Linked DNA regions of Mus musculus. The protein of the gene in region 1 interacts with the protein of each later gene in a pairwise test. Links are inferred from orthologs where the notes say so. Each region holds a gene or a part of one and is shown on either strand. Other genes may lie near its edges. The genes, in order: Klc3 and Bicdl2.

Region 1 (4,291 bases):
TGAGCCCAGCTGAGCTTTATAGGGAGACTCTATCCCCCCTCAATAAAATAAAGGTAACTAGGGTACAGTGGCTGTATTTTCAGAATTAAGTGAGACCCTGCCTCAGAAAAGGAGGGCAGAGAGAATTAATAAAATCAACACACACACACACATCTATATCTATATCTATAAATATATATATGGCAGGGAGAGCTAAATAGTAGATGCTTTTTCCTTGTATTCACAGGGCTCTGGGTACCACTCCCAGCAGTGCACACACTACTGTTAGCTCATGTTAATCAATTCAGGTCTTCCAGAAGACCCAAGTTCAATTCCCAGCACCCACATGGTGGCTCACAATTGTCTGTAACTCCAGTTCCAGAGGATCTGATGCCCTCACCCAGATCTACAGGCAGAACACCAATGCACAGTAATATAAATCTTTAAAATAAAGAAAACCCCTCTTACTTATGTGTCCGTATGTATACACAAATGCACGTGTGTGGGTGCCCACGTTCCATCCATGCATGTGAATCCATCCAGGCTCTCCTTGACCAACTCCGGAATAATTCCCAGGAGTCAGTTTTCATGGTTCTTGGAGATGAAACTCAGGCTGTCAAGCTTGGCAGCTAGCGCCCTTACCATCTTCTCAGCCAGGAATAGTTGTGCAAGGTCTTCAGGTTGTAATTATTAAAACAATATTTTTTGGAGATTTTTATCTTTATTTTATGTGTGTCTGTGGAGGCCCTGGAAGAAAGTGCTGGATCTCCCTGGAACTGGAATTACAGATGATTTTGAGCCGACATGTGGGTTCTGGAAATCGAACCTGGGTCCTCTGCAAAAGCAGCCAGCACTCTTACCTGATGAGCCATCTGTTTATTCCATATTTGTGTATGTATGACTGGACACATGTAGAAGTCAGAAAACAACATGTGGGAGTCCGTCTCTGTCCACCCTGAAGGTCTCAGGGATCGAACTCAGCTCCTCAGGATTGGCAGCATGCACCCTTACTGTCTGAGCCTTCTCGAAGGCCCCCAGATAAAGTTTTCAGAAGTTCTCGGAACGCAGGTTTCACCGAATGCTGCGGCAGAGGGCGTGGCCTGGGCGCCTGCGGGGGCGTGCGTTGCCTCCATCGGCCCCGCCCCGCCTCTAGACCACAGGTTTCTCAATGTGTGCTGGCGGAGGGCGCGGCCTGCGCACCTGCGGGGGCGTGGCTTTGCCCTGCCCCACCTCCCTCAGGAGCCTCCGGGAAGGCGGCGGCCGCGCAGCGGGAGCAGCCCGGTCTCCGCGCAGCGAGGCGGCTCGGGCGGGCGGCCGTCAGGTGGGCACGGGGGACGGCGGCGGCTGCTTCGGGATTCCCGAGGGGGCCGCAGGGATGGAGGGAGGGAGCCAGGGACCTGGTGGCCGGGATGAGCCTCGGGGTCCCCGCGGAGCCCCGCCCGGCCCCTAGCGGAGTAGAAAAACAGCTGCGGGCGGGGCGGGGCCTTGTGACGCGAAGTCCGGTGCAGGGTCTCCGCGGCCGCGGGGAGGGGCTGGCCGGCTGTCGGAGGGTCCCCCGCTGCAGCCTGAGGGTGCAAGACATGCATGGTAAGGGAGCCTGCGCGAGGTGTGCAAAGAGAGGGAGAGTAAGGCAGGGCGCACTGTGGAAACTGAGGCGGGAGGAGCGGAGTTGGAGGCGAGCGAGCCTGGGCTTCGTACTCAAGGGAGAGAGACAGAAGGAGGGCGGATGTGGGTACAGATGCCAAAGGGAGGGAGAAAAAGAAAAGGAACGTGGGCCAGCAAGGAGAGTAAAGGTGTTGATGCCAAACTGTCTATTTCTCAAGTTTGATCCACAGGATCCGAAAGGTGGGAGGAGAGAAAGGACTCCTCCCTTAAGTTGCAAGTTGTTCTCTTGGCAATCCATGTGCCTCTGCACACACAATAAGTACATAAAGGGAAAAAAGTTGACTAGGGACCAGGCATCATGATGCACACCTATAATCCCAGCACTCGGGAGGCAGAGACAGGCGGATCTCTGAAGACAGCCAGGGCTACACAGAGAAATTCTGTGTCAATGTATACATATTCATACATATGTATATATATTAGAGAAAATCTGTATCAACATATATATACACATACATATGTATATATAAAATTATATATATTTTAAAAGTAAGAAAGAGTCACATTGTGGGTAAGAGTGTAAAAGAAATGAGCTACCATGTTACTCAGTGATGGGGACAGAGTGAATGTGGATGATCTTGTCTGTCTCCTGTGTGTGTGTGTGTGTGTGTGTTACATGCGGACTGTGCATAGCACTGAGCATGTGTGACTGAGATACTGGGTCAACTGTATACTTGTGGTTGATTCACACAGATGGCCATGTGTGGCAGGGAATGGGGTTGGATCTAGGTGTTGCGTGGCAGTGGGGGTGGAGTGTGTGGAATTGTGTCAGTGATATGTGACTGTCACTGACTAACTGTTGGCTGTGTGTGGGTATGTGGGTGACTGTGTCTGCAAGCTGAGGTTTACTTAGGTGTGTGTGTGTGTATACGTGCACACACGTGAGTGTGGGGCAAGCCTGCTGTGGACTAGTGAAGCTCTCTTGGGGCTCCTGTGAGTGCCGGGGACAGCTCGAGTGGCAGATGGCTGCGGCTGAGCTGTGGGAAGCTGCATATGGAGCATGGCCCCTTGGGTCTGAGATTGTGCGGTGGGGAGGGCGGTGGTGATCCTGGCCACACTGGGGCAGAGTCAGGATGGCTCACCCTGAGCTTGTGTGAGACTGACTACTTACAGGGTGTGTGAGGTTGAGCCTACCCAGGTTCTACACGCGCTCACCGGTGATCTTACTCACGTGCCTCGTATATGGTATGGTATTTTGGTTTTGTTTGTAGAGATGAAGTGACCTGAACACCTGATCCTCCCATTTCTGTATTGGGATTACAGGTGTGAGACTCCACATCTGGGGAGAAGTTGAAATGTTATTTCTTTCTTCAAAGATTTATTATATGTAAATAAACTGTAGCTGTCTTCAGACACTCCAGAAAAGGGTATTAGATCTCATTCCAGGTGGTTGTGAGCCACTATGTGGTTGCTGGGAATTGAACTCAGGACCTCTGGAAGGGCAGTCAGTGCTCTTAACTGCTGAGCCATCTCTCCAGCCCCAAAATGTTTTTTCCCATTCCTGCTCGATCCGGTCCTGCTCCTGAAATTTTATTTTATTTTATTTTATTTTATTTTATTTTATTTTTAGACAGAGTTCACTCTGTAGATCAGGCTGGCCTTGGACTCATGGAACTCCTCCTGCCTCTGCCTCCTGAATGCTGGGCTTAAAGGTGTGGGCCACTATGCCCCTCCAGAGGTTGAGTCATAACCTGGCGGTACCCAATAAGACCATCTGAGTTAAGATTTTGACTTTAAAGCCTTTGAAAATGATACTCACAAAGTAGAAACTGTATATCTGAGTTTGAGGTTGGGTCTCTTTCTGGGCTAGACTGCTGAAGGAGCACCTCACATGCCTCCACATGTTACGCTGAGACTTAGAAAATGCTACTTCAGGCAGCCCCAAGATCACCAAAGGAAGTGGGGTGGGGTGGGGTGGGCACTGAACTCACTGTGTAATGGAGGATTATCTCTTTAAAAATTACATGTATTAAACCCAGCAGAAGTGGCGCACTCAGGAGGAAGAGGCAGGCAGATCTCTGAGTTTGAGGCTAGCCTGATCTACAGAGTGAGTTCCAGGACAGCCAGGGCTACACAGAGAAACCCTGTGTTGGAAACCAAACAAACAATAAACAAGTCCCCAAACAGTGCTGTCTGCCTGTAACCAGCACTTGAGGTAGCACAGGAAGGTTTAGCCAAGGATGGCTTTGAGCCCTGATCTTCTGATCTCAGGTTGGTACCACATGCCCATCCATCAACTTTTTTTTTCTTATGGTAATAGGGATGGACTCCAGGGCCTTGGCACTGTTTGGCTATCTATGTCCCTAGTATTGAGACAGAATTTTTCTGTGTAGCTCTGGCAGTCCTGAAACTTGTTCTGTAGTCCAGGCTGGCCTTGAACTCAGAGAAACGCACCTTCCAAGTGCTAGGGTTCAAGGTGCACCACCACCATTTGCTAAGATTTATTTTTATTTTATGTACATGAGCGTTTGTCTGCAAGCAGGTATGTACATGATGTGTGTGCAATACCCACTGAGGCCAGAAGAGGGCGTCAGATCCCCCGGACCTTGAATTGGTTGAAAGCCAGCATGTGGGTGCTGGGTCCTCTGCAAGGGCAGCTAGGGCTCTTCACCTCTGAGTCATCTCTCCAGACCCCAGGATTTCTTTT
Region 2 (3,122 bases), on another chromosome or scaffold:
TGATCAGAGGGGCTGGGGGAGGGGCCAGCCAGCTGGGCAAGGACCTTGGGACTCTCTGGGAGATGTGGGACTGGACGCTGAGGGCAAGTGGGACCCAAGAAAGTGTATAGAACAAAGGACAGGCACTTTTAAAGTACATCAGACAGCCTGGCAGGTCAGGAAGAAGGCCAAGGCCAGAACTCAGGACAGAAAAGTCTGGGGCTGTGGACTCGGTGGAAAGGAGTGAAAAAGAAGGATAGTCTGAATTCAGATAGCTTGGCTTCTTAGCCACACCCTGCCTCAGTTTCCCCAATGGGGTGGTATCATACACCTCAAAGGACTGTGGTGAGACTGTAGGACTCAGGAGAATCAATAAATGCTAGATCAAAGCATTTAGTGAATTAGAAGGAAGACTGCACAGGGGAGGGGACCTACTCTGTGAGATGACCTGATGAAGCCAGACCTGGGCAGAGGACGATGCCAGGCACGCCCTGCTTTATAGTTGAGGAAATTGGTGCCTGCAAAAGGGAGGTGTGTGTTCTAGGTAACTGTGATTCAGGAGAGAGAGCAGGCCTGCTCCACCGGGGTGCAGACCCGGGCATAGCCCTCGGGCGCCCCGTGGGCCCACCGCAGAGGGCCAGCTTCCTGCTGACAGCTGGACGGATCTGTATGACCTGCAGCTGGAACGCGCCCGCTTCGAGGCTGGAGAGGCGCTGAGAACGCTGAGGGGGCTGCAGCGGCGGGTGTCAGAGCTGGAGGAGGAGTCGCGACTCCAAGACACCGAGATATCGGGCGCCTCCCTGCAGACCGAGCTCGCCCACAGCCTTGACAGTGACCAAGACCAAGACCAGCAAGTCAATGAATGTGGAGGCTCTCAGGTGAGCTTGCAGCCTACCAGCCCCACATTCAAATCATTTATGAAGGATGCAGGCTCTACTCCTCCTTTTCCCAGAGGTAACATACATCACTGACCAATTCCTTTGACAAACAGGCCATATTGTCCCCTGAGACTCAAGAGACATCCAGTCCCCAGCCTTCAATACAGGAAGAGATCTTGGAGCCACCTAAGAAACGAGCATCCCTGAGCCCAGTGGAAATACTGGAGGAGAAGGAGGCAGAAGTGGCCAGGCTGCAGGATGAGGTGGGAGAGCATGGTACTGCACACAAAGCCCCCAGGTGTCCACTTCTTTGCCATCTCCACTGTCAAGCCCCCTCCTCCATGAACTTGTAGTCTACCTGAGCTAGTCTGTACCCCCTGGAAGCCTCAGGGGCTCTACTGCTCCCTAAACTTCTCCCTGCATCCGTCCTGTTGAAGGCTAGCCCTACCTCTTCTTTACTACGCCACCTGATTCAAAGGATTCACTCTGAGTTTGAACACAGGCTGAGTTGCCTGCGGTGTTTATAGAGCAGTCCCAGGTTGTGGGAGGGCAGGTTGTCCTCCAAGGCTTTTGTACCAGTCTGCTCTCTTCCTGGCCTGTAGATCACGCTACACCGTACAGAGCTACAGACGCTGCGGGATGAGCTGCAGAGACAAAAGGAGCTGAGAGCGCAGGACAATCCAGAGGAAGCCCTGAGCAGTGCGCTCTCTGACCGGGACGAAGCAGTGAACAAGTGAGCCTGGCATTCTCTTCTCCCCTGTTGCCTCGGGAGGGGCTTATACTCTATCTGGTCCTTCTGGGTCCCTGATTTCCATCACCCTGACAGGAGTATAGCCTTCATTTTGACTCAGAAGCTTCAGCCCCGCCCCCACCCCCCTTTTACCAAGGTCCAGGAGGCCCCAGCACCCCCCGGACCAAGTTCTCTATCCCTTTGATTCTCAGGGCCATGAAGCTGTCACTGGAGCTCAGTCGTGTCTCCCTAGAGCGGGACTCTCTGTCCCGGGAGCTGCTGCGCGCCATCCGCCAGAAGGTGGCACTGACGCAGGAGCTCGAGGCTTGGCAGGTAAGAGAGGGCAGACCCTGAGGAGGACTGGTGGACAGGTATCCTGACCTCATCCCACCCCCATACCCACCCTGCTTTGCCTCCTACCTTCAGGACGACATGCAGGTAGTGATTGGACAGCAGCTGCGCTCCCAGCGCCAGAAAGAGCTCAGTGAGGCTGCAGCCGCCCCAAGACGTGCGAAGACCCGCTTTTCACTGCGCCTGGGATCCGGGCAGAGTGGAGGCTTTCTGAGCAACCTCTTCCGAAGGACCTGAGGGTTGGGGGCCAGGGCTACCTTTTCTCACTCTGGAGCTCAATTTCCTAACAGCCAATGGAGCCGTGGGGTCTAAAATGACTTCCAAGGGAAGTCTTCCATGCCCCAAGAGGTGGACAGAGGCACTTTGGGTGCAGGGGCCAGCTTTGGGGCAGGTGCCCCAGGTGGGTGGCGGGGGCAGAGCTGTTTATTTTTTGAATCTAAATAGATCTATCTTTTCTAAGCGCCAGGTCCTGCCCCATCTGTGCGAGAGGGGTGGGGATGGGTATTTATGTGTAAGGATAAGTCAGAGCTATATATATAAATCACTATACTTAATTGGTCTCCATTTTTGGGGAATAAAATGCAAACAAGAAAAGCCTAAAATTTTATTTTGACAGGACAACAAAAGCTGAATGTAACGGTTCACCAAGCTAAATCTCATACAGGAGTTTGAGATCAAGCTAAGCCAAATGAGTTCCAGGCCAGCCTGAGCTAAAGTTTAAAACCCCTATCCCAAAACACAAGCATCACTCTAGCTCCTGAAATACAGGGTCATGATGTCAAAAGGACAAAGAGAAGGCTCGGTAGCCCAGGTTGGTAAAGACATCTACTCGACAGCTGTTGCCCGATGCAGTCAGGACCTAAAGGCAAAGAAGACAAAGAAGACATACCTGGCTAAGTCGCCCATCTACAGGCCTGGAGAGACCCCCATGGCCATTCCAAGACCCACCTTGCACTCTGGGGCTGCTGGCTGCTGGTTGAGGCTCAGGCTGAGCAGCCCTGGGGAGGAGCCAGGCACCTGGGCCTTAAGCTCCCCGCTCAGTTGCCAGTGATTGACACAACAGCCCTGGCCAGCAGACAGGATCTGTGGAGGACAAAGAGGAGGTGCAGGGGTCAGGTCTAGGTGGGGGCACTGGATAGTGGGACAGGATCAAGACAGGGGGTCTCACCAGATCCTGGTAGAAG

What was found.
Region 2: the proteins of Klc3 (region 1) and Bicdl2 interact in binary tests that used the Homo sapiens proteins (3 or more experiments, as listed by UniProt). The two-hybrid records come from large-scale screens. The link is inferred for Mus musculus from reciprocal best matches to the Homo sapiens genes KLC3 and BICDL2.

Annotation. Positions count from the first base shown.
Region 1 is NC_000073.6:19,401,030-19,405,320, reverse strand, and holds the start of Klc3 (kinesin light chain 3), read left to right. Parts: upstream 1-1,216; 5' UTR 1,217-1,300; intron 1,301-1,469; exon of another isoform or gene 1,470-1,559; coding exon of another isoform or gene 1,560-1,566; intron 1,567-4,291. UniProt on the Homo sapiens protein: Kinesin is a microtubule-associated force-producing protein that may play a role in organelle transport. Plays a role during spermiogenesis in the development of the sperm tail midpiece and in the normal function of spermatozoa.
Region 2 is NC_000083.6:23,666,090-23,669,211, forward strand, and holds the end of Bicdl2 (BICD family-like cargo adapter 2), read left to right. Parts: intron 1-659; coding exon 660-857; intron 858-970; coding exon 971-1,120; intron 1,121-1,459; coding exon 1,460-1,590; intron 1,591-1,799; coding exon 1,800-1,920; intron 1,921-2,013; coding exon 2,014-2,175; 3' UTR 2,176-2,532; downstream 2,533-3,122. Other genes in the region: Thoc6 (THO complex subunit 6 homolog), read right to left, coding at 2,717-2,797, 2,887-3,021, 3,107-3,122.